Pelodiscus sinensis: one gene and its partners. The protein of the gene in region 4 purifies or fractionates together with the protein of the main gene of each other region. This does not show direct contact. Links are inferred from orthologs where the notes say so. Each region holds a gene or a part of one and is shown on either strand. Other genes may lie near its edges. The genes, in order: CHUK, NFKBIB, FBXW7 and NFKB2.

Region 1 (7,543 bases), about 4.4 Mb from region 4:
TGACGAAAATCTTGATACAGGTATTTCAGAAGATCAACAAGCAGATGAATCAATAAAATGTGTTTCAAATGTGAAGACAGAGAGGGCACATCTACACAGCAGTGCTAAACTCGAAATAAACGACAACTTGAGCTTTGCTAATTGAGTAGCTTAAGTTGAAATAGCTTATTTCGACTTTTAGTGCTGTCTACACAGCAGTTATTTTGAAATAGAGCACTCTTCCCCGACCTCCTTTACTCCTCATACAATGAGGTTTATCAAAGTCGGAGTAAGAAGCCTATTATTTCGATTTTATTTCAAAATAACGGACTTCCTGTGTAGAAGTGCTCTGCATTATTCAAAAATAATGCTGCTGTGTAGCCTAAGATTTCTTTTCCCAAAACATTTAATGTTAGAAGCATGATGGCCAGCACATAATTGTCAACAAGTTTACTCCAGTAAGTTACCCAGGGGCAATAAACAGAATTCAGATTTTCTAAGAATAGGCAGATCATGGATGAGTCGAAAGAATCTTCAGGCTAAGGATTGGAGTGGGACAAGAGTTTTGGGTTCAAATCCCAGCAGTAAAGAATATTCCATCCTGGATGAAACTAACATATGAACTAGAGCTAAACTAAAGCTAGGAACTGGGAAGGTCCCCTGCTGCCAAGGGCTGAAATGAAAAAATGTCACTGGTCACAAAAAAGTCAGATTTTGTGACCTCCATGACAATCGTAGCCTCAAATTCAGGCCATTAAGTTTCACCTCGTTACCTTTATATTTAGTCCAATGACTTGGGTTCAACTAAACTGTTGTGACCCACAAGCAGATGGGAGAGATGGAGGTGGCACAAATGCAGGAGGCCCCTTCAACAGCATGAAATTGATTAGTAGAGCCCTATGCCTACACAAATGTTTCCACAGATGCAGATATCTGCGGATAGACATCAGTATCTGCTGACCTGAAGGGCTCTACTGTCAAGAGGCAGTGTGACTAAAGGAGAAGAACATGGTGATTAAACAGTGGAATAAACTGCCTAGGGAGACTGTGGAATCTCCATCACTGGAGATATTTAAGAGAAGGTTAGATAGACTATCAGGGATGATCTAGATTGGGCTTGGTCCTGCTGTGAGGGCAGGAGACTGGACTCGATGACCTCTCAAGGTCCCTTCCAGTTCTAGTATTCTATGATTCCATGGTCCCATTGCTCCTAGGAGCCAGTGCCCTGCGCCAGCAGCTCGTCTCAGCAGTGTGATTGTACGCCCCCTCCCCCAACCCTGCCATCTTCTGTCTGAGGTCCTACAGCCCCGCTAGGGGTGGTACTGGAGACAGTACAGCCACATGGCAGGAAGGAGTTGTTGTCACTGGCTTCTGGGAATGACAAGATGACCATGCTCCTCTCTTTGGTTACAGTGCCTCTTGGGAGTAGAGCTCTACAGGTCAACATATGCCAATGTTGATCAGCAGATATGTGCATCCACAGACAGATATTTGTATCCCCACAGGGCTCTACTGATTAAGTTAGCCATGGCCATATGACCCCTGAAAGTGAACCATACCCCATACCATCCTCCCTGACCCCAAATCTGGCAGTCAGTACGACAAGATTTTTTTAAGACTCCAAACAATGGTAGTTGCCCCACTTCTCAAGTAAACTGTTCCAATGCTAGGAAACCTTGTCTCGTTTCAGGATTGAATTTGTCCAATTTCAGCTTCCAGCTCTAAGACCCCATTCTCTGTTTACCAGGTTTAAAAAAAATCCATTTTGAGCTCCCTTTTGTGTTTATTAGTGCCTAGATGCATTGATCAAGTCACCTCTCAATGTTCTCTCTGATATTAAAGTAATCAAAATGCAAAACCGCCAAAAGTATTTCTATGAACCCGTCTCACAATGTTCACTTCTGTGCCAAGAGCAAACAGACACACCTCACTGCCAAGCGTAGTTTTCCCATCAAACTGCAAGACCACGAAAAGAAGAGCTTTTTAAATGTATCATAATTACAGTGTTTTCCCTTTATGGTATCAGTGTAAAACTGTTTTTAAAATACAGCTCTTTCCCTGGAGGCTAACGATAACCTTCTTTAGAACAACAAATAGTCTGGTTGCAGTTTAACAAAACATGTAGATGGCATCACACCACCACCTACATGTTTTGTTAGTCTTTAAAGTGCTACCAGACTATTTGTTGTTTTTTAAGTTTCCCCTGTACAGACTAACTCGGCTACCCCCTGAAGCTTGAGAGTGAATAAGACCGAAAGAAGTCTGTAGCTAGTGACATCTCTGAAGGGGAAACGCTCCCCCGTGGATCTGAGAACACTGCCTCCCAAAAGCAAAAGACAAGGCCATGATGCAACCTACTTACTTCTTCATTATCTGGATTTCATGGCACCACCGGTCTTTGTTTTTGGTGCTGAGTTCCAACCGGCAAGATTTGATGGCGATCTTGTCACCCCGCTCCTGCAACACAAACAGTCACAGGTGCTGCGGCCCCAGCCGGGTTGCAAGAGGCTGGAGCAGAAGGGCACGGTGCGGGGGGGTCAGTGTCGGGCCAGAAAGCTGGGGGACGGGAGGGGGCCAAGGGGGGGTTAAGGGGGGGGTCAATCCATTAGCCTGATCCCAGTGACCAGCCCCAAATACCCCCCCTCCACACAGATCCCCCCCCCCGCTGCACACGGGTGGCGGTGCGGGGGCAGGAGCCCCTGGGAGGAGAGTGAGCGGGGGGGGGGAGGGGTTACCCAGCAGGCTTTGCGGGGTGACCCGGCAGCGACGGGCCGGGCTCCCGGGGGGGCGGGGCGACTGACAGGGCGAACCCGGGGGGGAGGGGTCGGCGCCGCCCCCCCGCACCTGGTGCTGGTAGAGACAGACGTTGCCGAAGCCGCCCGTCCCCAGCCGCTCCCGCATCTCCCAGGGGCCGCAGCTGCCCGCGGGCTGCCCCCGCAGCGCCGCGCCCACCGGGGGCCGCTCCATGCCTCGCCCGGGCCCCGGCCGCTCGCCCGGAAACCAGCGCGCGCGTCACTTCCCGCCGGGCGGGGGCGGGGAACGGCGTCGCTCGCGCTTCCCGCCCCTCCTCCTCGCCAACGGCCGAGGCGCGTGCGGGAGCCCGTGGCCCCGCCCACCCGACAGCGACGAGGGAGCGCGCGGTCCGCATGCAGATCAAGCCACGCCTCCCCGGCTGAGCCACGCCCCTCGGCCTCACCTCCCTGCAGGGGCGGGGATGTGTTGCAGCACGTGCCCTGCGCGTGGCGCCTGGAGCAGAGCTCTGCGGGAGCTTTGCGGGGGGGGGCAGCGCCACCCATTCCTCCCCCCGGGTAGGCTTGGTAGGACTTGATTTGTATCAGAGCCTGTCAGCTTCCCCACAGCTGGAAAAAACATCTGCATCAGTTACAGCCCCAGATTACAGAGAAGCAGCAACTCAGGAACATGCCACGCCATTTAAGGGTACTTGTTATAGTTTGGACAGCGTGTGTTTACAAGGCAAAGTGCTTTATAAATGTGTCTGTCATTAAATAACTGTCTGACCCCCTCCCATAATTTCCTTTAACTTAAAACTTAAATAGGTAAGAATCTAAAAAATTGCCTTAATTAAACATGTGTCAAAATTTATTGTAATAAAAACAAATTCTGCCAAGTCCCTTCATGAACAAAGTAACCAAAAACTTCATAAAGGTACAATTAGGGCTACTCAGATGCAGTCCTCACTTTTCATTTTTAAAAGTCATTTTACTATGGAAAATGAAATGTAAACTAGGCAGCACTACCTTACCGCAGATGCCATACATTCAGGCTGCATCTAGACTGGCAAGTTTTTCCGCAAAAGCAACTGCTTTTGCGGAAAAACTTGCCAATTGTCTACACCGGCTGCTTGATTTTGCACAAAAGCACTGACGTTCTACTGTCCGAAATCAGTGCTTCTTGTGCAAATGCTTTGACGTTCCCGTTCGGGCAAAAGCCCTTTTCCAGAAACATTTTTGCACAAGAGGGCCAGTGTAGACAGCTAAAAGCTGTTTTGCGCAAAAAAGCCCCAATGGCGCAAATGGCAATCGGGGCTTTCTTGCGCAAAACTGCGTCTAGATTAGCATGAACGCTTTTCCGCAAAAAGTGCTTTTGCAGAAAAGCGTCCGTGCCAATCTAGATGCTCTTTTCCGCAAATGCTTTTAACAGAAAAACTTTTCCGTTAAAAGCATTTGCGGAAAATCATGCCAGTCTAGACGTAGCCACATGGTTTTGCATCACTGCCTTCATCTCTTCATTTTAAGTACAATTGTATATTACCTAACGGTGGCTAGTAATTTGGACACACTATATAGATAAATAACTGGAGGCACATGGAATCTCCACAAATATGAAACTCCAGATCTCATTCCGCAAATGGACAAAAGAAAGGAGGGGCTTCTGGTTAAAGACAGGACTGAGTCGGGAGATGTGTTCTGTTTTTGCCGCCATGCTGCTGCCCAACCTTGTGCAAGTGACTTCACATTTCAATCCCTCAGTTGCCTCATCTTTAAATATATATTCCTCTTTTGTAAGTGACCAAGAGCCACAAATAAGCTCTTAAAGAGCTTAATGTTATTTTACTAAACATTTACTTTAAGTTAGTAATTCATCATTTTTCTAAGCCAATATCTTAATGCCAGCTCCCCTCTGAACTGCTGTAAAAGTGCATCTCTGATGGGTATATCAAATATATATTTTATGCTAAACATGATAAAAGTTATAGGAAAAACAAATTTTCCAAACTGCAAGGGAAGCACCTGGAAGCAGACTGGGACTCAGGAGGGGTCAGAGAGAGCTTTGGATTCAGGACCAACCCGGATGGACTTTCCTGTAACTCTGTTCCCTTGTTTACCAAGGACTTTCTTCATTGTGTTCCTGACTATTAATAAATCCTTCTGCTTTTTACAACACTGTCTGAAAGTCACTCCAGATTAAGGAATTTAGGGGTGCATTGCTCCACTTGGGTGTGCAAGTTTTCCCCAAGAGTCCAGTTCAAAGAGACTCACTGAGGGGAACTTAGGATGTGAAACTGGGGTACTGAAGGCTCATAGGTTTGGGCCCAAGAGGCAAGATGGTAATATAACATTGCAAATACACAAAGTGCTATTATTGTGCAATGTCAGGCCCAGCTACCATAGGATGTGAATTAAAGAATTAAGTTTTCATAAATAGACTTTTATTACAAACTCATAAAACCAAAAATAACTGTAACTGAATGAAACTCTACAAATACAGGGAAAATAACTTTTGAAGGGGAAAGAATAGCCATTCTCATGTCACACACACAATGTGTCTCATTCATCAGCATATATGCAGTTCTGACTGCGTGTACTCTCCCTCAGGGTGATGTGGTAGAACTGCAGTAGCACAGAAACACGTGGAGAATGTGGGGGCAGGAAGTGTAGAGAGGTCTCAGAATGCAGTTATCAATAGACTGCAACGGGAGGCAAACCAGGGTTACTTGCACCTGAAGTCTCCAACATGTCCGTCTGGCGCTGAGCGCGCTAACATGAACTGCTGCACGTTTCTGTCCTTTTCTTCTTTGTTTCTCCTCTCTGCACTAACCCTTTCCACTCGCCCCACAAAGGTGCTTCTGCAAGCCCTCTACTCAGTGTGTGCAGCACCAGAGGCTGGCAGGATCTCTTGGAACAGGTTGACCCCACATCCCTTTTCTTCTCCTGATCTGAGCTGCTCCAGTAGTGTGGATGGAGGAACCCTCAAAGCCACATTTCCAGCTGCAAAAAGCACAATGCACAGAGATATTATTATGAGTGTTTTCACTCCCCTTGAGCCACACAAGCCACAAGTAGGGATGTTAGTGTCTAAGCCGAATAACTGTTTACCCGATTGTTAATCTATAAGCAATTGCCTGTCCCAATTAACCACAACACACAAACACTCTCTCTTTCTCTCTCTCCTTCCCTCCCTTTAAAATTTGCACCAGCAGGCTGGTTCAGTCCCAACACACTGGTCCGAGTTTTAAATGAAGAGCCCGCAGGGAAGCTGCCTGCCACACTGTGCTGCTGCCTCTAATGCAGAGGCAGCAGCATGGGTCAGCAGGCAGAAACTGGTCTATGCAGAGAGCTGGTTTAAAAAACAGCTCCCACCTGCCTCTCTGCACTGTTGACACTGCATCAGAGGTAGCACCAAAGGGTGTTGGCAGCCCCTGTCCACAGAGGGCCTGAGCTCCCAGCACGAAGCATCTTTATGTTTGTATGCTGAAACCAAAGTAAAAGCATAATGAATTTGCACATCTCAGCCTGCTGAAAATCATGCCCTTATGCTTCCCAGTGCACAGGGGGTATTAAACTCTTGCATTCCTTTAAATAGTCATGCAAACATATTTGTGCCACTGCCCAGAAGCTACCCAATCATCTCTTCAGGAAGACCAGGAACTTCCTATACTAGAAAAAAACCCACTATTGATACTCATTGTCTGGTTTTATTCATGGAATCTAGCTGCTTTATGAAGTCTTATATTTTTGTTCCCATTTCCTCACCGGAGCTCCCTCTGAGCCAGACCGAGTAAAGACTCAACTTTGCTTGAAATCAGGCTTCTTCTCTGTGTAATGCTGATCAGGCAGCTGCATGAAGTCAAACCACCGTGTGTCGGAGTTAAAAGAAAACATGGACTTTATTTTTTAGCTTGTCCCTACTTCTGCCGCAGATGTGGTTTCCAAGGAGTAATGGGTCCGAAGGACACAGCAAGCTAGTCTGCTGCTAGTTATTTATTGATCCAACAAGAAGAGCAGGAACTATTTAAGCTCTATCCAGACAAGGGAACCCAAAAGCTAGTCAGCTGGCATAAACTGGTACTATTCCACTGAAGCAAATAAAGCTGCACCTGCTCTTCCAACAACAAATTCTGTTGATCTCAGAGACATGACTGGCACACCAACAAAGACTTCTTTCTTATATCCACCCACCACAGAAAAGTCCGGCTCTCTCTGACTTCTAACCTTTTATTTACCGTTACCCTATAGCAGTCCTACAGTATCTTCCAATAAAAATGCCTACAACTTAACTCTGGTCATGTAAGGATATTTTTTAATGAAATGGCAAACTAAAAAGGATTAAGATTAAATAAATAAGTGAAAATCTTGTTTCTTACTTGCTGGATATCCAAGTGCTCTGGGATTTCTAGTAATTCAATTTGTCATTCTTGCACCTGTACAATAAAGGATTCTAATGTCTTCAGTATCTCAACAGTGAGTGTACAGGAATCACCTGGCGATGGACAACATAATGAGAAAGAGATACAAACCATACTATTCTCCTAGTAGATAAGGCAATAAATCCATCATTGGGGCTTGCACACCCCTCAGCACTGCTTTTCATCACACGAGACAGATCACCTGTCTCTACAGACTTAAACTTATGAGGCAGGTCTGCCTTGTAGGAGATGGAAGAATAACTGAAAACTAGAAGTTCTGGAAAAGTTTTCATGACAGTCCTTCTCCTTTATACTCTTTGTGGTAGGGTGAGGCCGCTCTGACACTGTCACAGATCCGCCAGGCAGAAAACCACCACAATGCTCCCTTCCATAATCAATTCAGCAAAACCTGGCCCC
Region 2 (7,266 bases), on a different chromosome or scaffold from region 4:
TCATATTCAGCCCTTCACAGCCTTGAGGGAAATGGAGGGTAACTGGGCCACAGAGAGCTCTGGCCATGCTGGCTGGGGAAGGACACAGCATGCTCAGGACAAAGGTCCCACGTGTAACACTCCCAGGTGGGTGACGAGAGGCTCCATACCATCATAATTGGTGCAGTCCAACTGAGCCCTGGCGTCACTCCCTTCACAGGATCTGCGCATGCTCAACGATGCCAAGAGCCACTGTGCACAGTCCCGCCAGCCCTCCCGGCATGCCAGGTGCAGCGCCGTGTGGCCGCCTTTCTCCTGCACGCAGAGCCCTGCCCCGGCTGCCATCAGCTTGCGGACAAAGTTGGAGGCACCGAGGATGACTGCAATGTGCAATGCCGTCTGGGGAAGGTCAGCGAGATAGACAGGTCAGAAAGCTCTGTGGCTGATCTTCCCTAAAAAGTGCCCGGCCTACTAACACCACTACAGATCGCTTCTTTCCATGGGCTGTCACCCTAATAGCGTCACACCCCATATTCCAGACGCAGCGCTGAAAAGCAGCCACCTCTGGGCAGGCAGGCAGTGGCCAATTGCACAAGCAGGTCAGAAATTTTAGTCAAGGACACGACTATTCACACAAAAGCTGTCTCTACTACCCAGGCACAGGAGCCGACACGGTCTTGTCCTTCCTCTGCACCGTGAGCTACATGGAAGGCAGCTGATTTGCCTGGCATGAGCGCGACCACCTTACACCCTTTAAACAAAGCCCTCCCTGGCCCCGTTTACTTTGGTCCACTGCCACTGTCAATTCCCCAGCCTTCCTTACATTCCCCGGCCATATATTGGAGCAGACCAAAGCTCCAGTTAGTCCAACACCCTGTCTTCCGACAGTGGCCAGCGCCAGAGAGAAGGAACAGGTAGCCATCAGGGGATCCAGGGGAAGATGTGTTTGGATATTAGTGTCTCATTTATCAGTTGCTTGCAGGAGCATCTCCAGCATGCTAGATGCTATACAGACACAAAGCGAGGGATAGCTCCCTGCTCCAGAAAGACTGCTGTGCTCCGTAACACTCTTCCCTGCTCCCCCAACTCATTTATGATGCAGAGGAATTAATATGTGGTTGTGTTTCATCTTCCTGCCAGCAACCCAATCACTCCCTACAGGAGGTGGCATGGGCGATATCGTGTAGGAAGCTGACTAGGAGCCACTACTCCCGAGTTTTGTCCCCAACTGGCTGTACAATGTTCAGGCAAACCAATGTGGCTCTTTGTGCCTCAGTTTCCCCACTGCAATTGCCAGAGACTACAGACAGAAAAAGCTCCAGTCTTGGCCCAACCTGGCTCAGGTCATTCTGCAGATCCAAGTACTCCGTCCCGGCCGTGTACTGCAGGATAGAATCCAGAAAGGCTTCGTGTTCATGAATCACAGCCAAGTGGAGGGCTCTGGGGATGGAAGAACAGACACCACTCCAAGCAAAATAAATAAGTACCCTGCAACTGGCTGGAAATGCCACCCATGAAAGGGAAGCAATAGCAAGAAGAGGAATCGATCTAGTCAGCAAAGAGCAAGTAGCAAGGAGCTGGGGGTGCAGCAGGGAAACCAGGTGGGTGTAAAACTCCTGGGAGTGTGGGCAATAGAATAGCTGCCAACAGTGACTGAATTCCTACAGTTAATGCCTAAAGCATCCCAGAAACTGGACACCAGGGACTGCAGGCCGCGGCCGATGGAGACAGCACTGAGATATCAAGGCAGCCGGGCGGGGGGGGAAGGGGGGGGTGTTAGGACAGGGGCACAAGCCAAGCGCCCGGAGTCCAGGATGGGGGGGGGGGGGGGTTGGACGGGGCACAAGCCAAGTGCCTGGAATCCAGGATGGGGGGGGGGGGGTTGGACGGGGCACAGGCCTGGGGGGGGTTAGGACGGGGGCACAGGCCCGGGGGGGGGGAGAGGTGGGGCTCGGACGGGGGCCCAGGCCCGGGGGGGCGGGGGGCTCGGACGGGGGCCCGGGGGGCTCGGGGGGCTCGGACGGGGGCCCAGGCCCGGGGGGGCGGGGGGCTCGGGGGGCTCGATGGGGGCCCAGGCCCGGGAGGGCGGGGGGCTCGGACGGGGGCCCAGGCCCGGGGGAGCGGGGGGCTCGGACGGGGGCCCAGGCCCGGGGGAGCGGGGGGCTCGGACGGGGGCCCAGGCCCGGGGGGGGGGAGAGGTGGGGCTCGGACGGGGGCCCAGGCCCGGGGGGGGCGGGGGGCTCGGACGGGGGCCCGGGGGGCTCGGGGGGCTCGGACGGGGGCCCAGGCCCGGGGGGGCGGGGGGCTCGGGGGGCTCGATGGGGGCCCAGGCCCGGGAGGGCGGGGGGCTCGGACGGGGGCCCAGGCCCGGGGGAGCGGGGGGCTCGGACGGGGGCCCAGGCCCGGGGGAGCGGGGGGCTCGGACGGGGGCCCAGGCCCGGGGGGGCGGGGGGCTCGGACGGGGGCCCAGGCCCGGGGGGGGGGCACAGGCCCGGGGGGGGGCTAGGAGGGGGGGCCCAGGCCCGGGGGGGCGGGGCTAGGAGGGGGCCCAGGCCCGGGGGGGCGGGGCTCGGAGGGGGCACAGGCCCGGGGGGGGCTGGTCCCCCACTTACGTGTCCCCGTCCTCGGTGACGAAGCGCAGCACGTGGCGCAGCCAGGCCTCGGGGGGGCCCTGGCCGGGCGGGGGGTCCGCGACGCGCACGGAGCCCAGGCCCCGCGTCACCGCCCCCAGCGCCCCGCCCCCCTCCTCCTCCGCCGCCCCCAGCGCCGAGTCCGGCCGCTCCGGGCCGCCCGCGGGGTCGGGGGTCGGGGGGCAGGGGTCAGAGGTCACGGCCAGGCCCTCCTGGATTAGGCTGAGCTGCCCCTCCCCCAGCGAGCCCAGGCCGCTGTCGCACCAGTCCCCGTCCTCGCCCGCCTCGGCCCGCGTGGCCCCGCCCGCCGGCTCCGCCATGGCCCCCCCAGCGCCCGCCGCGGGGCACGCCGGGAAGCGGGGCGGGGCGCGGGGCAGGCCGGGAGGCGCGGGGCACGCTGGGAGGAGGGGCGGGGCGGGGCAGGGGCGCGGGGCAGGCCGGGAGGCGCGGGGCACGCTGGGAGGAGGGGCGGGGCAGCGGCGCGGGGCACGCTGGGAGGGGGGAGGCGCGGGGCACGCCGGGAGGAGTGGAGGCGCGGGGCAGGCTGGGAGCGGAGGCAGGGGCGCGGGGCAGGCCGGGAGGGGGGGCGGGGCGGGGGCAGGGGCGCGGGGCACGCCGGGAGGAGGGGCGGGGCGGGGCAGGGGCGCGGGGCACGCCGGGAGGAGCGGAGGCGCGGGGCAGGCTGGGAGCGGAGGCAGGGGCGCGGGGCAGGCCGGGAGGGGGGGCGGGGCGGGGGCAGGGGCGCGGGGCACGCCGGGAGGAGGGGCGGGGCGGGGGCGGGGGCGCGGGGCACGCCGGGAGGAGGGGCGGGGCGGGGGCGCGGGGCACGCCGGGAGATGTAGTTCTGCCGAGCGGGCGGCCCGTTTCCCTGCCGCAGTCGGGTCCGGCGGAGCCGAGCGGGGCGGGCGCCGGGGTCCATGGCCGAGCGGGACGGTGACTAGCGGGATAGCCCCGCCCCCGGGACAGCCCCCCATCCCCCAACGCCCCCCCCGCGGGCTCAGCCCCCCCATCCCCCAACGCCCCCCCCCCCGCGGGCTCAGCCCCCCATCCCCCAACGCCCCCCCCGCGGGCTCAGCCCCCCCCATCCCCGAACGCCCCCCATCCCCCAACGCCCCCCCCGCGGGCTCAGCCCCCCCCATCCCCCAACGCCCCCCATCCCCCAACGCCCCCCCCGTGGGCTCAGCCCCCCATCCCCCAACGCCCCCCCCCGCGGGCTCAGCCCCCCCCATTCCCCAACGCCCCCCCCCCGCGGGCTCAGCCCCCCCATCCCCCAACGCCCCCCCCCCGCGGGCTCAGCCCCCCCATCCCCCAACGCCCCCCATCCCCCAACGCCCCCCCCGTGGGCTCAGCCCCCCCCATCCCCCAATGCCCCCCCCCATAGCAGCGCGCCTCCCTCCCCCTTTTCGCCAGCAACTCGGGTCTCTTCTCTCCCTGCTGTCCCAGCTGCGGGGCCCGGCGGGCGCGAGGCGGAGCGGGGCGCGGACTCTCCCGTGAGTAGGGGGCGCAGCTCGGGTTCCCTTTGCAGTGCGGGGGCTCTCTGCTAACCCCTTCCCTTCTTCTCGAGCGGCCACCCACCACAGCCTGCCTGCAAAAGAACCAGGAGTCCTGGCCCCCAGCCCGCTGCTCTAACCTGCTCCACCCCATTCGCCTCCAGGGCCAGGGACAGACCCCGAGAGCCCCCACCCCACTTCCCTCCCAGTGCTGGGGCTAAAACCCAGGAGGCCTGGCTCCTCTACCATCTCCCTGCTGTATCTGGAGACCAGGCCCCTTTCCTGCAGCACAACCCAGGAGTCCTGGTTTGCCTTTGTCCCAGTCCTCAGAGGATCCTGCCACAGACACAGATGCTTCTAACACTAGCCAGTAAAACACAGAAGACGGCTTAACGGGCTGCGTTACCGGTGAACTTAACCTGCTACATTGACGCTGGCTAACTTAACCCGCTGCATTAACGTTGGCTCACGTAACCGGTGAACTTAACCAGCTACATTAACGCTGGCTTATTTAACCGACTGCGTTATCTCTGGCTTACTTAACCTATGAACTTAACCAGCTACATTAACACTGGCTTATTTAACCGACTGCGTTAACGCTGGCTTACTTAACCTGTGAACTTAACTTGCTACATTAACGCTGGCTTATTTAACCGACTGCATAAACGCTGGCTTACGTAACCGGTGAACTTAACCGGCTGCGTTAATGCTGACTTACGTAACCTGTGAACTTAACCGGCTGCGTTAACGCTGGCTTACTTAACCGGCTGCGTTAACGCTGGCTTACTTAACCGGCTGCGTTAACGCTGGCTTACTTAACCTGCTGCGTTAACGCTGGCTTACTTAACCGGCTGCATTAACGCTGGCTTACTTAACCTATGAACTTAACCGGCTGCGTTAACGCTGGCTTACTTAACCTATGAACTTAACCGGCTGCGTTAATGCTGGCTTACTTAACCGGCTACATTAACGTTGGCTTACGTAACCGGTGAACTTAACCAGCTACATTAACGCTGGCTTATTTAACCGACTGCGTTATCTCTGGCTTACTTAACCTATGAACTTAACCAGCTACATTAACACTGGCTTATTTAACCGACTGCGTTAACGCTGGCTTACTTAACCTGTGAACTTAACTTGCTACATTAACGCTGGCTTACTTAACCTATGAACTTAACCGGCTGCGTTAACGCTGGCTTACTTAACTGGCTGCATTAACGCTGGCTTACTTAACCTATGAACTTAACCGGCTGCGTTAACGCTGGCTTACGTAACCGGTGAACTTAACCGGCTGCGTTAATGCTGACTTACGTAACCTGTGAACTTAACCGGCTGCGTTAACGCTGGCTTACTTAACCTATGAACTTAACTGGCTGCGTTAACGCTGGCTTACTTAACTGGCTGCATTAACGCTGGCTTACTTACCCTATGAACTTAACCGGCTGCATTAACGCTGGCTTACTTACCCTATGAACTTAACCGGCTGCGTTAACGCTGGCTTACTTAACCTATGAACTTAACCAGCTGCGTTAATGCTGGCTTACTTAACCTATGAACTTAACCGGCTGCGTTAACACTGGCTTACTTAACCTATGAACTTAACCGGCTGCGTTAACACTGGCTTACTTAACTGGCTACATTAACGCTGGCTTACTTAACCTATGAACTTAACCAGCTGCGTTAATGCTGGCTTACTTAACCTGTGAACTTAACCAGCTGCGTTAACGCTGGCTTACTTAACCTATGAACTTAACCGGCTGCGTTAACACTGGCTTACTTAACTGGCTGCATTAACGCTGGCTTACTTAACCTATGAACTTAACTGTCTGATCTTTGTGTGTTTTTTCTGTTATTCAGGACTCTGATTCTGACTCGGAAAACGGTGGTGCTTCTGGAGAGTCTGAAAGTAGGTAACTTGTGCTGTATTGTAGGGGAAGGGATGGGGAGCATGGGGCGGCCGAGTAGCATGATACACAGGGGAGAGCCTGGGAGAGCCTGCTGGGTCTGTCAATCTATCCCTGTTCCTTCCTCTCAGGGGGGCCTAATGCCTCAGGTGATTAACGTGAATAGGGGTAAATCATCTGTCGTTAAACCAGCTCTTTCTGTCCGGGCTTCGAGGCAAAAATTGGTCTGTGGCTGGAATTGGGATTGAATAATCTTTCTCAATTATCTTCAGGCCCCTGTCGCTGTAGTTTCTGAAAGCCTCTGTTTCTGACATATTTGTTCCCATAACTCCCTGGGAGGCAGGGCAGTGCCACAGAAGGGGAAACTGAGGCCAGTCCGGTGACACCACCTTTGCAAAAGACGTTATTTAAACAGACAGGCACGCTTTTCTGCTGTCTGCACTGCGGGTTCTGCTAAGCACGGCTGTGTCAACTAGCGGGTGTGAACACCCCCAGCCAACTGAAGCGTGTAACATACGCCAGGCCCCAGCGACTCCTCGCACGAGTAGTCAGTTGCAGAGCTGTGCCTTGAACCTAAACAATGGGCCCTTCCGTCCGTGCCGGGTTCTCCTGTCGTTCCCAGTGCACTCACACACCCTCTTTTCCCTTTTAAGTCTTCAAGGCACTTTCTAAATATTAACTAACCTTCAAAACGACCTCCTTCTGTGACATTGGGAAATGGAGTCCTGAGGGGGAAACTGAGGCTCGAGGACGAGAACTGCCGTGCCCAAGGCTGCTCAGCAAATCCGTGGAGCTAGGATTAGAAACCAGGCCTCCTGGCTCTCAGTCCCCTTGCTCTAACTATTAGACCCTACTCCCTTCCCAGAGCTGGGACCAGAGCCCAGGAATACACAGCTAACTTTGCTTGTCCTCTCCCTTTCAGTGGATTTCCTGCGAAATCTCCTGTCCCGGACGCTGGGCCTGGGCAGTGAGAAACCGGAGAAGGTGCTGGATGAGCTGACACTAGATGGTGTGAGCCGCTTCATGCTGAGTGAGAAGTGTAAGCTGGGTCCCCTCTTGGGAGGCAGCTGCTCTGAGACTGAACCAGAGCGACTCTCATCCTGATTTCCCCCCTCACAGTGGGAAGGGAAAGGGGTTGAGGGAGAGGCTGTGGGCTAGCGGGGCTGTCTAGGGGCAGGCCTGGAGCAGACCAAGGGATGTGGCAGGGACTCCATGTTGGTGTAACTTACAAGCAGGGGCACAGGTGTCACTTACACATTCGTA
Region 3 (6,853 bases), on a different chromosome or scaffold from region 4:
AGGGGAGTGAAGGGTGATGCTGCGGGACCAACACAGCAGCACCCCAGCTGCTCTGCTCCACCGCTTGTTGGCCGCTCGTCAGTTTCAGCAGCAGCAGCACAGAGCAGCTGGGGTGCTGCCGGGTTGGTCTCGCAGCGTCACCCCTCACCCCCCTGCTCGGCGATAACATCTGCAGTATGGGGGCTGGGAACTCTCGGCGGCGGCGCAGGGCTTCCCCTGCCTTCCTGCAAAATGACAAAAGGTTCGCCCCTTGCCACACCGTTCCCCGCCAGCAGCTCCAATTGTCCAGCTGGCTGGAGCACTTCCGGGTTCCAGTTGGTGCTGGAATATTGGGAGTGCCGGACCACTGGATGCTGGACAACTGGAGATTTACTGTACTTGTTTTTTCCTACTGAAGTTAATTTCGCTCTTTAAAATTTTACACCTGCAACTGCTGAACTCTTCTACTCCCAAATATTTTACTTAAGTATAATATATTCAGGTACAAGTTGAGCCTCTCTAGTCCATCAATCTCTGGTCTGGCAACATCCATGGTCCGACATGATTTTAATTAGCAGAACGTCCACTTATCACGGGTGTGACAAAGTATCCCATGAAGTCTGTTTATAGCAACTAGGCCTGGCTCTCAGTGTTCTGTGCTGTTATTTAGCTCTAATTTACTCCTAAATGTATTTTAAGAGCCCAGTTAAGCAGTGGAAGTGTTGGTAACGCTGCTAGACAATATTGACCTCCTATGGCTGGGCTACTCAACTTTGGAAAGTTGAGTAGCTGAGAGACACAGTAATACTCACAGCACATGCCAAAGGCTGCAACATAAGTGCGGGTTGCATATACACGCAAATATATATGCAAATATACGTAAACAGATTCTTTCACACTGATGGGCATGAATACAAAGATTAAGGCAAGACTACACAGCACACAGGCCCCATTTAAATCAGTTCTACTGATACTGATAAAATGCAATATTTACCCCATTTCCACGCATATGACAGCACTTTTAATGAGCAATGACAGTCCAGGAATTTAACTACTAAAACACATATCAACAGAAGACCATTAAATTGACTTGCCATTGTGGAGCGTGCTCCCAGGGGAGGCCATACTCAAACGATCTCACCTGCAGGCCGCACATTGAGCCCCATGTAAACCCAACCCCCTCACGGGCTGCAAACAAATGGGCCATGTGTTGAGTAGATCTGTCTTACAGTTTGACAAATTCTCTGGTTCAGCACTGGTCAGGTCCTGAGGATGTCAGACTAGAGGGGTTCAACCTATATTTTAACTTCAAAAAATGACCCCTGATCCCTATATCAACGAGGTTTAGAGACACAAAATAGAGTGAATCGTGCCATCTCCCTCTAGAGTAAAATTGTTATGTATGGGGTATTATTTGTGACCTAAGTAACAACTACTCTATAAAATAAACCCTGAAAAACGTTAAATGAAGGAACATTTAAATCACTGCACTCTATAAATTACCTTGAAAACATCCTGATCTTAACAAGTGATTGTTTAATATACAGATCCGACTGATATTTTCAGGTTGAGGTGACTGCATGGTCACCTAACTTTAGCACACTAATCCACAATTCATGTTACCTTTTAACTTATCTGTCTCTGACTTCAAAATTCATACAGGAATTTCCCATTGATAGGTGTACTTATTTTCTACTTATCAGTGCAGCACAGGCACAATATAACAAAAGTTAAAATGAATGTTTAACACAGAAATAATTATTAAGCTCTCTCTCACAAAATAAATGTCCTATAGCAGCCAATACGTATCCACAAAAAGGTATGCTTATTCTTGAATAAAAACATATTAACAATGCACTTTGAAAATTTTTGACTGAAAAGGACTAAATATAAACCAGCATCAGACATAGGGACATATTTTGTGCTTATACATATTGTTTATTCACAAATGTACCTTGCAAATGAAAGCAGCATTACAAATCTTAGAGATAAGAAACTTAAATAAAAACACAGGTTCAATTTCAGGGATATATATAGTCACTTCCATGCAGTAAAATCCGTAACTGGACCTGAAGTTTTGCAGTTTAGTTTAGTTTGATTTTCAACCAGAGCCAGCATTTTGCTTCCTACCCATCAATGTCCCATGTAGATAAAATGGTAAAGATAATTTCTATCTTTGTACTTTAAAGAGTAGCATTAGTTTTGCCAAGTTCTCAAGAAATGAGTAAAGGACATTAAGAAAAATATGTATTAAATAACTGCCAGAAAAAGGCTACATGTTAAATGTATAAAGATGACGTCTGATTCTATATAGAGAATTTTCTCTAAACTGAAAAATTATCTAAAATTTTAAGATGTCAGATGCTTCTATCATATAATATCATTGGGGAAGAATTTCATTAAAAGTAATTTTTATTTTGACATAAAGAAGATACTGCATCTTTAAGCATCCAGCAGTTTCAAAGCAACGCTAGGCTGCAATCACAACATCCATTAGAGTGTTCCACGTTTCAGAGCAAGCAAGCAAGCAAGTGGTTGTCATTGTAGCCAGTAAATCACCTGATCCTATTACAAAATCAATTACTGCAGCACATTTCTATTGCTACATAACCTGATGATAGCAAAATGATATTGGATAGCTACTGCAAGGTCAAGAAAACTGCTAGGAACAGCTCAAATTTCTCTTTTAATGTAAGTCTAAATTATAATGCATCTATTTAATGGTATATTTTAGATTTTAAATAAATATCTATATAGTTACCTTTTTTGGTTGATTGGGACATTCGGTGGATAGTCTCTGTAACTGGTCTGACGTATGGCTGCAAGATAGAAGATCAGAGCAGCAGGTCGAACAGCCCAGCCTCTTCATTAAAGAAAAAATAATGCTGCAGCCACATCCACACATTGACTTGCTCATCAGATGACTTTATTCCTTAAGAAACCAGAACTGGTACATTCCCATATATACTCAAAATTGGCTGACTGCCTCATTCTGCAGTTCCCTGGCTGAAATTAACACTGATAAACAGGAGAAAAACAAAACAAAACACGTGTTCCTCAAAAAAAAAAAAAAAAAAAAAGCCAGCCAGAGTCCCAACACGAAGCAAAATTCAACAGTAAAATATAGACAGTTTTACAAGGTAAGATGTTTTAAGGCTCTTAACTGGTTTATAAAAGGAAGAAAGGCACCTTAAGAGGAATAGATTCAAGGTGTCAGATACATTAAATTGCACACTCACTACAGTTTGTTCTTCTCCATCACTTCAAGTCCAGTTACCTACTCTAACGGCTCAGCCTATCCAACCTGTTCTTTCTCTAAGTGCACACTATTCCAATAGCCAACAGAAAAGAGCCACACCCCTCAACATCCTCCATGCACTCTATTCAAGAGCTGCTCAATATCTCAAAAAAGAACTGCTGTTGCATTGCTTAGAACAACAACAGGGAAGGGATTACTGGATGGAGGCTGACCTGCCAATCAGAGCAACTGACCTTTTATTACTCTAGTGTTCAAGAGGGACCTGTCAATACATTCAAGAAGAATGACAGACTTGTCTTCCTGTTATACTCTACAATAGATTTTCTACAATATATATTTTCTAATTTTATTGTAAATTGAATAATTTGTATGCAACAAAAGGATTGCACTGAAACATACAAAATTCTGTAAAGAAATGAGAATGGCTGCTACCAACCTATATGAGTTGTGATAACATTTAAGAAAAAAAACAAACACAAATTTAAACTAAAGGAGGACCAAGAAAGGAAAGTAAGTTGAAACATAACCTTTCTCTTATCAATCCCCAATAGAACTGTCTAGGATAAGCAGCTTTGAGAAAAAAAAGTTACACAAAGTCTTTGGCTCAGAGGAAGAATTGCACAGAAAAGCAACAGTAATTCAAAAGAGTAGTCATATCTCATAGGCTTCCAGGTCTGTTCCAAAAATATTTCATGTGCTGAAACCAAAATATGGTCTCTCAATAACACTCTCTACCTGTCTAATTGCATCTGTATAATTCGGTCTCAGTCAAAAACTTGACTGTTTCTCAGGGTATAAAATCAGTGAACCATATACTGATTTTCCCTTTTCATGTGATGGCATATTGTTATATGCCAGCATTACAAATATTTTAAAAACTTCATTTTAACCAGCTTACTAAAGTAAGCAATATGGTTTCTGAAATAAAAGGGTTCATATTAACACAAATGCTTAAAATGATTACAGGATAAAATGACTTGAAGTAAGTGTCATTTGCATTTATAGAGCTATCAGTGCTGGTCTAATTCAACAGCACCCCTATCAAAAGGTTACAAAAAAGTAGATGACGTAAAAGCAGCTTAAACATATATGTGTGTGTATGTTTATATATATATATATATGTGTGTGTTTTTATATATATATACACACACACACACACACACACACACACACACACACACACTGAAGAAAACTTCAGTTTTCTTACTGCACTGAAAGCTTAATCTGTCTCTTGCTCTCTCCTGCTCCCACCGCTTCCTTCCCTCCCCTTCCTAGGTTTAAAGCTGAATTGAGCTAGTATTGCCTCTCCCTTTCACCTTGCTCTGCCCTTTTGATTTTATGTTTCTTTTCAATCAGTTTCCAGTGGTATCTAAATATAAAGCATGCACTATAAATAGAATAAAAACCCCTTTTATAGATAAAGACTATGGATGCAAATAAGCAAAATAATGCTATAACCTTTTACTCGCCTGCTTGAGGTACTGTCTGCTGCATAGAATTTTAAATCCTCATCTGCAGATGCAATTGAGCTGGTATTGCCAAGGACTTTGCTCTTCCTGTGCTGATTCTACACGTCTATTCATTGAAAGAGCACATTATATCGAAAAATTAAAGTAATATCAGGTGAAATTACTCAGATGGATTGAAAGCAACCGACATCTAAAAATCAGCTACTGCTTTGACCAGTCACATTTCAGAGACATGTCAGACACATTGGTGAAGAAAGTCTTACTGCTGATGCATGCTTGCCAGCAATATGCAGGATGTGGAAGTGCAGAGAGCTAATGAAAAAAATTAATACACAGAATTGAAGTGCAAGGATCACGCTTTGTCCATTAATACTTCATGTCTTTCATGCCACAGTATCTCTCTTCTGAAGATGCTACTGCTTACAAAGCTGAGAGATCTTGTCAAAAACAAAACCTTTGTATCTCAGTAGACTGCAGATAAGTTCTAATAAAATATTCTAACTGTGCACAATACCTCTAATAAATGGAAAGCTTATTTTTTCCTTTGGCAGCACATAATTAAACATTACAAAATGTTAGTTCTAAACAACAACAAAAAATAATAAAATACTAATGCGCTAGGTAAAGATTTTTGGTTTAACATGGTTGTGAAATACACTAGCATTTCATTGGAATTTGTATTCCTCTTAAAAGAAATGAAACACCAGCAGTAAAGGCTGTTATTCATTATTTATGATTTTTCCCTCCTCATGTCAGTTTCCTTAATGTACTATTGATTCTCAGAACGCATACAGATGGGGCCAGTGACAGACAAACCAGATATATATAGAACAATGATCCAGAAGAGACAAAAGGAAGATGGTTTAGAGAAATACTACTATCACTGCAGAATTTTGTTTTCAGGAAAGGAAAAAACAATTCCAATAGAAGTTAATTCTGATGAAAACTTGAAATTTTTTTGCACTGAACTATTCTATAAAATATTTTCACGTGTAAAATCAGATTTTGTCTTATCTGAAAAGTGTTACTGCTACATTCAGAAAACAAGTAAGCACTCCAAACCCTGACACTGGTAATTTTGCACATAGTTTAACTGTGACAAAGGCAAGTTACCGCTGAAGTTAAAATTGTTTTTTATGAATTGAGCACAAGATCAACCTGACCTTCACTTTCCCGTTACAAACTCTAATTTATTGAGTTACCCTTCAAGTTATTCTTCAATAGAATGTATAGTAAGGCAAGCAAATGCCAGAACTATTGATATACCACTTCACAAATTTAACACCCTTATAATATTTCTATCAGTTTTAAAGTTTTAAAATAGTTTTTAATATTAGTAATTTAAAAAGGCATTAATCTTGTTCTGTAATAAAAATGCTTTATTGCAAATATCTCATTCCCTAGCAACTTATATATCCAACCACAGAATTGTAATACTTTTCTTAACAGAGGTGGACTTCATGCTAAGCTAGAACTTACTCTTCCATGAAATGTGTTATAGACTATTTTTAATTTCAGAAGCTAGAGAAAGCTAGTAGGGGAGAAGCTGTTCTAGATTTGTTTTTAACAAATAGGGAGGCACAGGTTGAGAATCTGAAAGTGGAAAGCAGTTTAGGTGGAAGTGATAATGAAATGATGAGTTCATGATTCTAACAAATAGTAAGAGTGAGACTAGCAATATAAAGAATGAATTTTAAGAAGAAAGAGTTTAGCAAACTCTGTCCCATTGGAAATAAGTCTAAGAGGAAGAACAGTTGGCAGTTTCTCAGAGACATTATTAAGGCCACAGTAGCAAACTAGCCCACCACGTAAGAAAGATAGGAAGTATAGTAAGAGACCACCATGGCTTAACCAGGAGATGTTCAATGGTCTAAAATTAAAAAAAAATAAATCAAGTCTACAAAAAGTTGGGAACTAGACTAAATTACAAAGAATGACTACAGACAAACACCACAAGTATGTAGGGGCAAAATTAGAAAAGCTGTGACAAAACAAAATCAAACTAACTAGAAGCATAACAAGAAACACTGGTAGCAAGAAAACATTCTATAAAATATATTAAAAGCAAGAGGACAAGGGACAAGGACAAGGGAGGCCCATTACTTAATAATGGGGAAAAACAATAACAAAAAACATGGAAATGGCA
Region 4 (7,481 bases):
CCAGATCAAGCCAAGCCACGGCCCGTAGGTTCCCCATCCCGGCTGTAAAGTGTCCCTAAGGGTATGTCCCAGGTTCACCCTGAAGATTCCCTCTGAAGTCCACCGGAGTCAGTGTCTGCCGGGAACCGCATGCCAGCTGGGGGAGTCCCTCTGTGCCGGCTGAGCGACAGGAGCTCTCCAGCTACCTTCCAGCCCTTCGCTCCCAGTGTCTGCGCAGGGCTGTGGCTTCCTGCCTGCAGCAAGCCCCTTGCTCGCCCAGGCCCAGCAGACGACGGGAGGCCGGTGCTTCCTAGAGGTGCTCCGAGTGGCGTTCAGCCTGGGCTCTGCTGCCTGGGGAGCCGACGGAAGCCCGTCCTGGCAGGCCAAGGGCTGGTTTGGCTGGAGCACAGGCAGTCGCCTTGGCTTCTCCCCAAGGAGAGCCTCTTGCAGTGAGCCGCAGGACGGCCCTGAGTCCGTGCTAGGCTAGCATGCTGGTCCAGGCTCCTGCAGCAGCTGCATCCTTTGGTCCTCGCACCCTGGTCCTGCAGGGAATGCTCCCAGGGAGCACACCTTGCGGAGGAGTGCAGAACAGGGAGCCTTCCCTGTCCCCTGGAAAACGCTGAGCACCGTTGTTCCGGGTGCCCAGGTGGGATCCTGCGGGGTCTGCCATGCTCCAGGACTTGCTGTTTGTCCTCCAAAGGGATCAGGCAATAACTGAGTCGAGGGTCAGCTTGGTGAACCTCCTGGGTAGATGGGGAGGTTACAAATACAGCAGGATGCTGGCAAATAAGAAATTAACTGAGCGCGACAAGCCGTCCAGGAAAGAGCAGTGGGGAGGAGGAGCTGGGTGCAGAGAGAGGAGAGGGTTCACCAGCTATAGCACAGGGTGGGTGCTCATGGGGCGTAGGCCTGCGTCCCCGGTCTCTGCGCCCCCGAAACACCGCGCTCTCACAGCAGACATCGTGTGCCCGGGCTGTGCTCCCCGCCCGCTGGGAGGAGGATCAGCTACGTGAGTCAGCATGTGGAGATGCTGCGGCAAAAATAGTACCTGTGATACTGGGTTGTATTGGTAGGCACGGCGAGCGTGAAATGTCAGCGGGCAGGTGGAAGGGGAGGTACCTACAGACAGTGTGTCTGGGGAACTGAGACCGGGGGCAGAAGATGGCCCATCAGGCACCGGCTGGAAAAGGATGCTGCTTAGGCTGTGTATCCTGCTATGGTTTTGTAGCCTCTTCTGTCCTGAAGGAATCCACGTGCTTACACAGGCTGCCTTGCTGAAATGCAGCTGCTTCTGGGGTGTAGCTCGGCTGCCCTGCACTTGCTTTCTCTGGAATAGCAGGTCTCAGTCTCTGGCATGTCTTCCTGGGCCCAAGGGATCTAGCCGAGCCTGAAGGGCCAGAGGAGACAGGCAACAGCTCAGCTCTCCTGGCACAGTGCAACTCTGTGCGGGAGCCAGGCTTTTCCAGAGACTGTGGAACAAACTCCCTCAGGCACTAAGGCCCATCCCAGACCCCGGTGTGCTGCTTTGCTCCCCTGCTCTAACATGGGAGTAGACGATGAGAAAATGTTCCAGAAGAACACTCTACGGGCACAGCCGCATGCCAGGCGTCCATCCTGGCCCTGGCTGCATTGCTAGGAGACTCTCTGTGGATTAAAACACCGGCTGGGGGAAATCCATTTCGCCCAAGGACATCGGGGCCTCCCACCCATGATCCTTCATGTCAACGCCAGGCTGCCTGGTCCCAAAGGCTCTGTGTTACGATGGGCTGGCCTGGATCTACCTTGTGCCCAAGGCGAGGGGCTAGGATATGCCGCCCGTGCTCTGTGGCCTTTGTGAGCTGCCGTGCGGCAGTGGTGGAGTCCCAGGGTTGCTTTGTGATGGGGTCTGCCAGGAGCCAAATAGCCCTGGTCCTCCTCAGAGTCCTCCTCGCATCCCCAGGGGTTCCTCCCGGGCGCCCCTCCCCGCTCACAGCATCTCTTCCTAGTGTCTCCGTGCCGGCAAGGTGGCTGGTTGGCAGAGCACGTAGTCCCGCTGCCCCCGGCCACGCATGCAGGGCAGCCCCTGGCTAGACTTTGAGCGGAGGGAAAATCTCCTTGAGAATTTTTTCCTCCCTTTGACTTCTGCAGAAAATGAGTCACTGCCTGTGCAATCCCCGTCCTACCCCTCGCTCTCCCCCACGCACCCAAAATCCCCACGGTGGGGCCTGCCGGCAGCCAGTGATTCATGGTGTGAGAGTGCCGAAGAGTGGGAACCGGGCCGCTGCCGCGGCCGGGGGAGAAGCCAATCTGGACAGGGACCGGGGGCTGCGCTGAGGTCCTGCCCTACCAGGTCCTGCCATTCGCAGCCCGGGGACAGGACTGGAGCCCTGTGGCTGGCAGGGGCTGAACGGGCCGTGGAGGCCCAGCCTGGGGAGGGGAGAGTCACTGGCACCAGCTGCCGCATCAGTCCGAGGCTTAGATCCAGGGCCTCAGTCCCTGTGCGCCAAGGCTGGCCTGGAGGCGACCTGTTCGGAGTCTCTCCCCTCCAGCTGCCCTGTTCTGTGGCCAGGGGGCTGGGTGCCTCACTGGGCAACCCCCATTCTGCTGCCATCTCTGGGGCGAGGTGGAAAGTGCTGCTCTCAGCCGGGCGGGCAGGGAGGGTCTGTGCCTGGTCCCGGGGGAGGGAGTGGCTGGCATTGGGGGGTATCGCTCGGCCCCCCGGGAATGGGGAGAGATGAGCAGGACCTGCCTTGGAAGAGGACTGGGGCTGAGGGACGGTCTCCGTGCTTGGGGGGCAGAGGATGGGGCCGTGGGCAGGTGGCCATGGAGCAAGGCTGCTTTTCTGTGCCCCTTAGCTCTGAGCACAGAGGATGTTGTATTATGCGAAGCAGCAGGCTTGGGGGTGGAGGAGGGGGCTGGGATGCTCTGGCTCAGAGGCAGTTGCATATACACACAGCAGGTCTAGCCGTCTGGTGTTGCGTTACCTCGCCAAGGTTTCTGTGTCCTTGGAGGAGCATCAGAAGGGGTTAATCCCTGTTGCCTTTCATAGCCAAGGATCCCTAAACACTTGGCCTCTGAAATGCGGCCACCTCTGGGGTGGAGCCAGAGGCCCACCTGCTGGAACGCCGCATGCCAGCAGGAGGGAGGCCGGGGCAAACCCATGACGCTAGAGGCTGGACCGTGGAATCTCCGGCCCAGCCTGGTGCTGGAATAGCGACTCAGAGCAGAAGCGAGAGTCGGCAGTGGGGAAAGCAAGCGGCCTGCCGGAGTTTCCGGCCCAGGGCAGGGCCAACCCCAGCTCTGCCTCTCCGCTGCGCCCTCCTAGTGACTGACTGATTGTGAATCTCTGGGCCTGGAGGTGAAAACTCCCTCTGTGTTTCAGAAGGGCAGGAAATGATTTGCATAGCTCGCCTAGCCCCGCCCCGGGGTCACCCACAGCCAGCCCTGGCATTGCTGGGAGTCGGCTGTGCTTCTGGCTGAGGGGCTTGTGGGGCTCCCAGCCTGGCAGTGACAAGGGAGGGTCCATGCATGGGGGGATGTGCGCAGAGAAGTCGGTATTCCGCACCGGCCTGCGGCTAAGGTAGGGGGGCACCAGGCGGGCAGGGGAGTCGGTGTGTGAACCGCGGGGTGAGTGGGGGGGGCTTGGCGAAGGGTGCGCTGGGGCCAGGGGGCTTGTGTGTTGCAGGGTCAGTGTGTCTGCTGTAGGGCAGCTGGGGGTGTAGGAAGGCTGGGGGCAGTGGGGGGGCTTTTCTGGCTATGGAGGGGAGTGAGTGGAGTGCTGCGGGGTGCCCGCAAATCAGGCAGCGGGGTGCCGGGGAGAGCGGTGCTATGGGGCAGGATGGGCAGGAGGGGTCTGGGGGGAGCGGTGCTATGGGGCAGGATGGGCAGGAGGGGTCTGGGGGGAGCAGTGCTATGGGGCAGGATGGGCAGGAGGGGTCTGGGGGGAGCGGTGCTATGGGGCAGGATGGGCAGGAGGGGTCTGGGGGGGGCGGTGCTATGGGGCAGGATGGGCGGGCGGATCCGGGGGGGCGGTGCTATGGGGTAGGATGGGCGGGGGAATCCTGGGGGGGCGCTGCTATGGGGCAGGATGGGTGGGGGAATCCTGGGGGAGCGGTGCTATGGGGCAGGATGGGCGGGGGGGCGGTGCTATGGGGCAGGATGGACGGGGGGATCCGTGGGGGCGGTGCTATGGGGCAGGATGGGCGGAGGGATCCGGGGGGGGGGGCGGTGCTATGGGGCAGGATGGGCGGGGGGGCGGTGCTATGGGGCAGGAGAGGTCTGGGGGGGGCGGTGCTATGGGGCAGGATGGACGGGGGGATCCGGGGGGGCGGTGCTATGGGGCAGGATGGGCGGGGGGATCGGGGGGGCGGTGCTATGGGGCAGGATGGGCGGGGGGATCGGGGGGGCGGTGCTATGGGGCAGGATGGGCGGGGGGATCGGGGGGGCGGTGCTATGGGGCAGGATGGACGGGGGGATCCGGGGGGGCGGTGCTATGGGGCAGGATGGGCGGGGGGATCCGGGGGGGCGGTGCTATGGGGCAGGATGGGCGGGGGGATCGGGGGGGCGGTGCAGGGCGCCGGGGTCAGGCCAGGTGGCGGCGGGGGGCGGGGCCAGGCGGCGGGGGCGGGGCCGGGGGCGGGGCCAGTGACGCGCGGGCCCGTCATTTCCAGCCCCGGGCTGGGTTTCTAGGGACTTTCCGGGCGGCCCGGCCCCAACTTTCCTCCCCCCCCAGGCCCGGCCCCGCCCCCGCCGCGCAGCCCGGCCCCGCCATGGACGAGCCCTACAACGCGGTGAGACCCGGCGGGGGGGCCGGTGGGTGCGGGGCTCGGGCCCCCCCTCGCTGTGCCGGGCGGGGGGAAGGATGGGGGGGGCCGGTGGGTGCGGGGCTCGGGCCCCCCCTCGCTGTGCCGGGCGGGGGAAGGATGGGGGGGCCGGTCGGTGCGGGGCTCGGGCCCCCCCTCGCTGTGCTGGGCGGGGGAAGGATGGGGGGGGCCGGTGGGTGCGGGGCTCGGGCCCCCCCTCGCGGTGCCGGGCGGGGGGAAGGATGGGGGGCCCGGTCGGTGTGGGGCTCGGGCCCCCCCTCGCTGTGCCGGGCGGGGGGAAGGATGGGGGGCCCGGTCGGTGCGGGGCTCGGGCCCCCCCTCGCTGTGCCGGGCGGGGGGAAGGATGGGGGGCCCGGTCGGTGTGGGGCTCGGGCCCCCCCTCGCTGTGCCGGGCGGGGGGAAGGATGGGGGGCCCGGTCGGTGTGGGGCTCGGGCCCCCCCTCGCTGTGCCGGGCGGGGGGAAGGATGGGGGGGCCGGTCGGTGCGGGGCTCGGGACCCCTCGCTGTGCTGGGCGGGGGAAGGATGGGGGGGCTGGTCGGTGCGGGGCTCGGGCCCCCCCTCGCTGTGCCGGGCGGGGGGAAGGATGGGGGGGCCGGTCGGTGCGGGGCTCGGGCCCCCCCTCGCTGTGCTGGGCGGGGGAAGGATGGGGGGCGGTCGGTGTGGGGCTCGGGACCCCCCTCGCTGTGCCGGGCGGGGGAAGGGATCGGGGGGCCGGTCGGTGCGGGGCTCGGGCCCCCCCTCGCTGTGCTGGGCGGGGGAAGGATGGGGGGCGGTCGGTGTGGGGCTCGGGACCCCTCGCTGTGCCGGGCGGGGTGTCAGGCTCCCCCTGTCCCGCAGTGCCTGGACGGGATGGACTACGACGACTTCCAGTTCAGCTCCCGCCTGATGGAGCAGAAGGAGCCGCTGATGGAGACGGGTGAGGGTCTGGCTGCGCGGGGGGGGGGTCAGGGAGCTGCCTGGCTCCAGGCCGAGGGGAATTCCCAGGCAGGCCCGGATCCCGGGAGTGAGAATTCCCGCTCAGCCGTGGGGAGCCTGGCTGGGCTGGTGATCAGTCCGCAGGGCCTGTCCCGCCCATTGGATCGCAGGGCTCCGGTGAGTGGGGGGGCCTGATCCATCTCCTTCCGCCTCAGCCCCCCCCCGTGCTGCTTCCCGGAGCACGCTCACCCCAGGGGCACTGTGGGGCCCCTCCCTGGCTCTGCTGCAGGGGGAGCGTGATCTGACTTCACCTCCAGCACTGACCCTGCCTCCTCCTCTCTCCTCTGCCCCCGTCAGCGGGTTTCCAGCCGTCGGCCCCGCGTGCAGGTGGGCGCGCTTCACTCGGTGTCTTTCCTTTCTCCTCCGCAGCCGAAGGGCCCTATCTCATCATCATCGAGCAGCCCAAGCAGGTGAGGACTCTGCGGGTAGCCGCCCCGCCCCCCCGCAGCTCCCGCCCCGCCCCCCCGCAGCTCCTGCCCCGCCCCCCGCACACGGCTGCTCCCGCCCCGCTCGTGGCTGCTCCCGCCCCGCAGCTCCCGCCTGCCAAAGCTGGGGTGACAGTAGCTGTAAGGTCCCCTGGCCAAGGCTCTCAACCTGTGCCCCCCGCAGTAGGGAAGGGGCGTAGGCGGTCGGTGTGGGCCTTTTTCCCAGTGGGGTGGGGCCCGGGGCCCTGGCTCTACCAGGCTGTGACTGGGGTTCTGGTTTGGCAGCGTGGGTTCCGGTTCCGGTACGGCTGTGAAGGCCCCTCGCACGGCGGGCTGCCTGGCGCATCCAGCGAGAAGGGACGCAAGACTTACCCTACTGTCAAGGTGAGTGCCAGGCAAGCTGTGCGGCGCGGCGCTGAGGTCCGGGGGTTCCCCGCAGCACCCCGTGTGCCCATGCAGGGAGACTGCTCCGGGGCCGGAGGTGGGAGGTGAACCTCCAGGGAAAGAAAGCTGGGATAAGACTGGCCCCTGTGCTGAGGGGCTTGCGAGGGTTTGGGGAGAAGGGGAATGCGACCCCGGGGGAGCCAGCAGTACAGGTTGCAGGCCCGTGCCCTCCCTCCTCTCCCCCGCAGCCAGGGAGGGCCGCTCACTCCCCCTTCTCCCGCCAGATCTGCAACTACAGTGGCGTGGCGCGCATTGAGGTGGATCTGGTGACGCACAGCGACCCGCCGCGGGTGCACGCCCACAGCCTGGTGGGGAAGCAGTGCAACGAGGCTGGGAATTGCATCGTGACCGTGGGCCCCAAGGACATGACGGCACAGTACGGACCGGGGGCTGGGGCAGGCCTGTGTGGGTACCGGGCGGTGGCCGGGTCGCTGTCGCGTCAGTTACACTGGTGCTGGGCAGGCACAGCTGCTGCCCTCAGCAAGCCCCTGCCGAGATCCCTCTGGCTGGTAGCTGGGCATCCTCTGCGGGGACAGACACGTATTCCCGGGGCTTCTCTTCTCCACCTCGGCCCCAGGAGCCCCCTTCCCAATGCCTCACCCGCACGGAACGGGCGCATCCGCTGACGGGCGTGGGAGACTCCCTGGCAAGCCTGTGCTCTTGCCGGGGCAGGCTGTAGCGCCGGGGGGGCCTGGAACGGGTGAGCTAATGTGCGAGAACCCCCCAGGGCGCTGCTCCTGGGAGAGCAGCAGGCGAACCCCGGGGGGCTCGTGGCTCTCCTGTACCGCGGGACGGGGCTGTGGGGGGCTCTCCTGGTCTCTTGCCCTAGTCGCGTGGTTGGCGACAGGCTGCCTG

The links.
Region 1: the proteins of NFKB2 (region 4) and CHUK purify together in Homo sapiens (affinity purification with western blotting; 4 studies listed by BioGRID and IntAct, with this or other methods). This does not show direct contact. The link is inferred for Pelodiscus sinensis from reciprocal best matches to the Homo sapiens genes NFKB2 and CHUK.
Region 2: the proteins of NFKB2 (region 4) and NFKBIB purify together in Homo sapiens (affinity purification with mass spectrometry; 4 studies listed by BioGRID and IntAct, counting the BioPlex papers as one, with this or other methods). This does not show direct contact. The link is inferred for Pelodiscus sinensis from reciprocal best matches to the Homo sapiens genes NFKB2 and NFKBIB.
Region 3: the proteins of NFKB2 (region 4) and FBXW7 purify together in Homo sapiens (affinity purification with mass spectrometry; 7 studies listed by BioGRID and IntAct, with this or other methods). This does not show direct contact. The link is inferred for Pelodiscus sinensis from reciprocal best matches to the Homo sapiens genes NFKB2 and FBXW7.

What each region holds. Positions count from the first base shown.
Region 1 is NC_134718.1:7,059,428-7,066,970, forward strand, and holds the start of CHUK (inhibitor of nuclear factor kappa-B kinase subunit alpha), read right to left. Parts: upstream 3,005-7,543; 5' UTR 2,947-3,004; coding exon 2,824-2,946; intron 2,437-2,823; coding exon 2,342-2,436; intron 1-2,341.
Region 2 is NW_027465946.1:251,539-258,804, reverse strand, and holds the start of NFKBIB (NF-kappa-B inhibitor beta), read right to left. Parts: upstream 3,016-7,266; 5' UTR 2,930-3,015; coding exon 2,592-2,929; intron 1,420-2,591; coding exon 1,314-1,419; intron 379-1,313; coding exon 150-378; intron 1-149. Other genes in the region: SIRT2 (NAD-dependent protein deacetylase sirtuin-2), read left to right, coding at 3,527-3,542, 4,053-4,099, 5,957-6,005, 6,926-7,042. UniProt on the Homo sapiens protein: Inhibits NF-kappa-B by complexing with and trapping it in the cytoplasm.
Region 3 is NC_134715.1:55,466,774-55,473,626, forward strand, and holds the start of FBXW7 (F-box/WD repeat-containing protein 7), read right to left. Parts: upstream 3,003-6,853; 5' UTR 2,897-3,002; coding exon 2,741-2,896; intron 1-2,740. UniProt on the Homo sapiens protein: Substrate recognition component of a SCF (SKP1-CUL1-F-box protein) E3 ubiquitin-protein ligase complex which mediates the ubiquitination and subsequent proteasomal degradation of target proteins.
Region 4 is NC_134718.1:2,691,897-2,699,377, forward strand, and holds the start of NFKB2 (nuclear factor NF-kappa-B p100 subunit), read left to right. Parts: upstream 1-4,481; 5' UTR 4,482-4,490; coding exon 4,491-4,748; intron 4,749-5,619; coding exon 5,620-5,698; intron 5,699-6,054; coding exon of another isoform or gene 6,055-6,126; coding exon 6,127-6,167; intron 6,168-6,467; coding exon 6,468-6,566; intron 6,567-6,850; coding exon 6,851-7,002; intron 7,003-7,481. UniProt on the Homo sapiens protein: NF-kappa-B is a pleiotropic transcription factor present in almost all cell types and is the endpoint of a series of signal transduction events that are initiated by a vast array of stimuli related to many biological processes such as inflammation, immunity, differentiation, cell growth, tumorigenesis and apoptosis.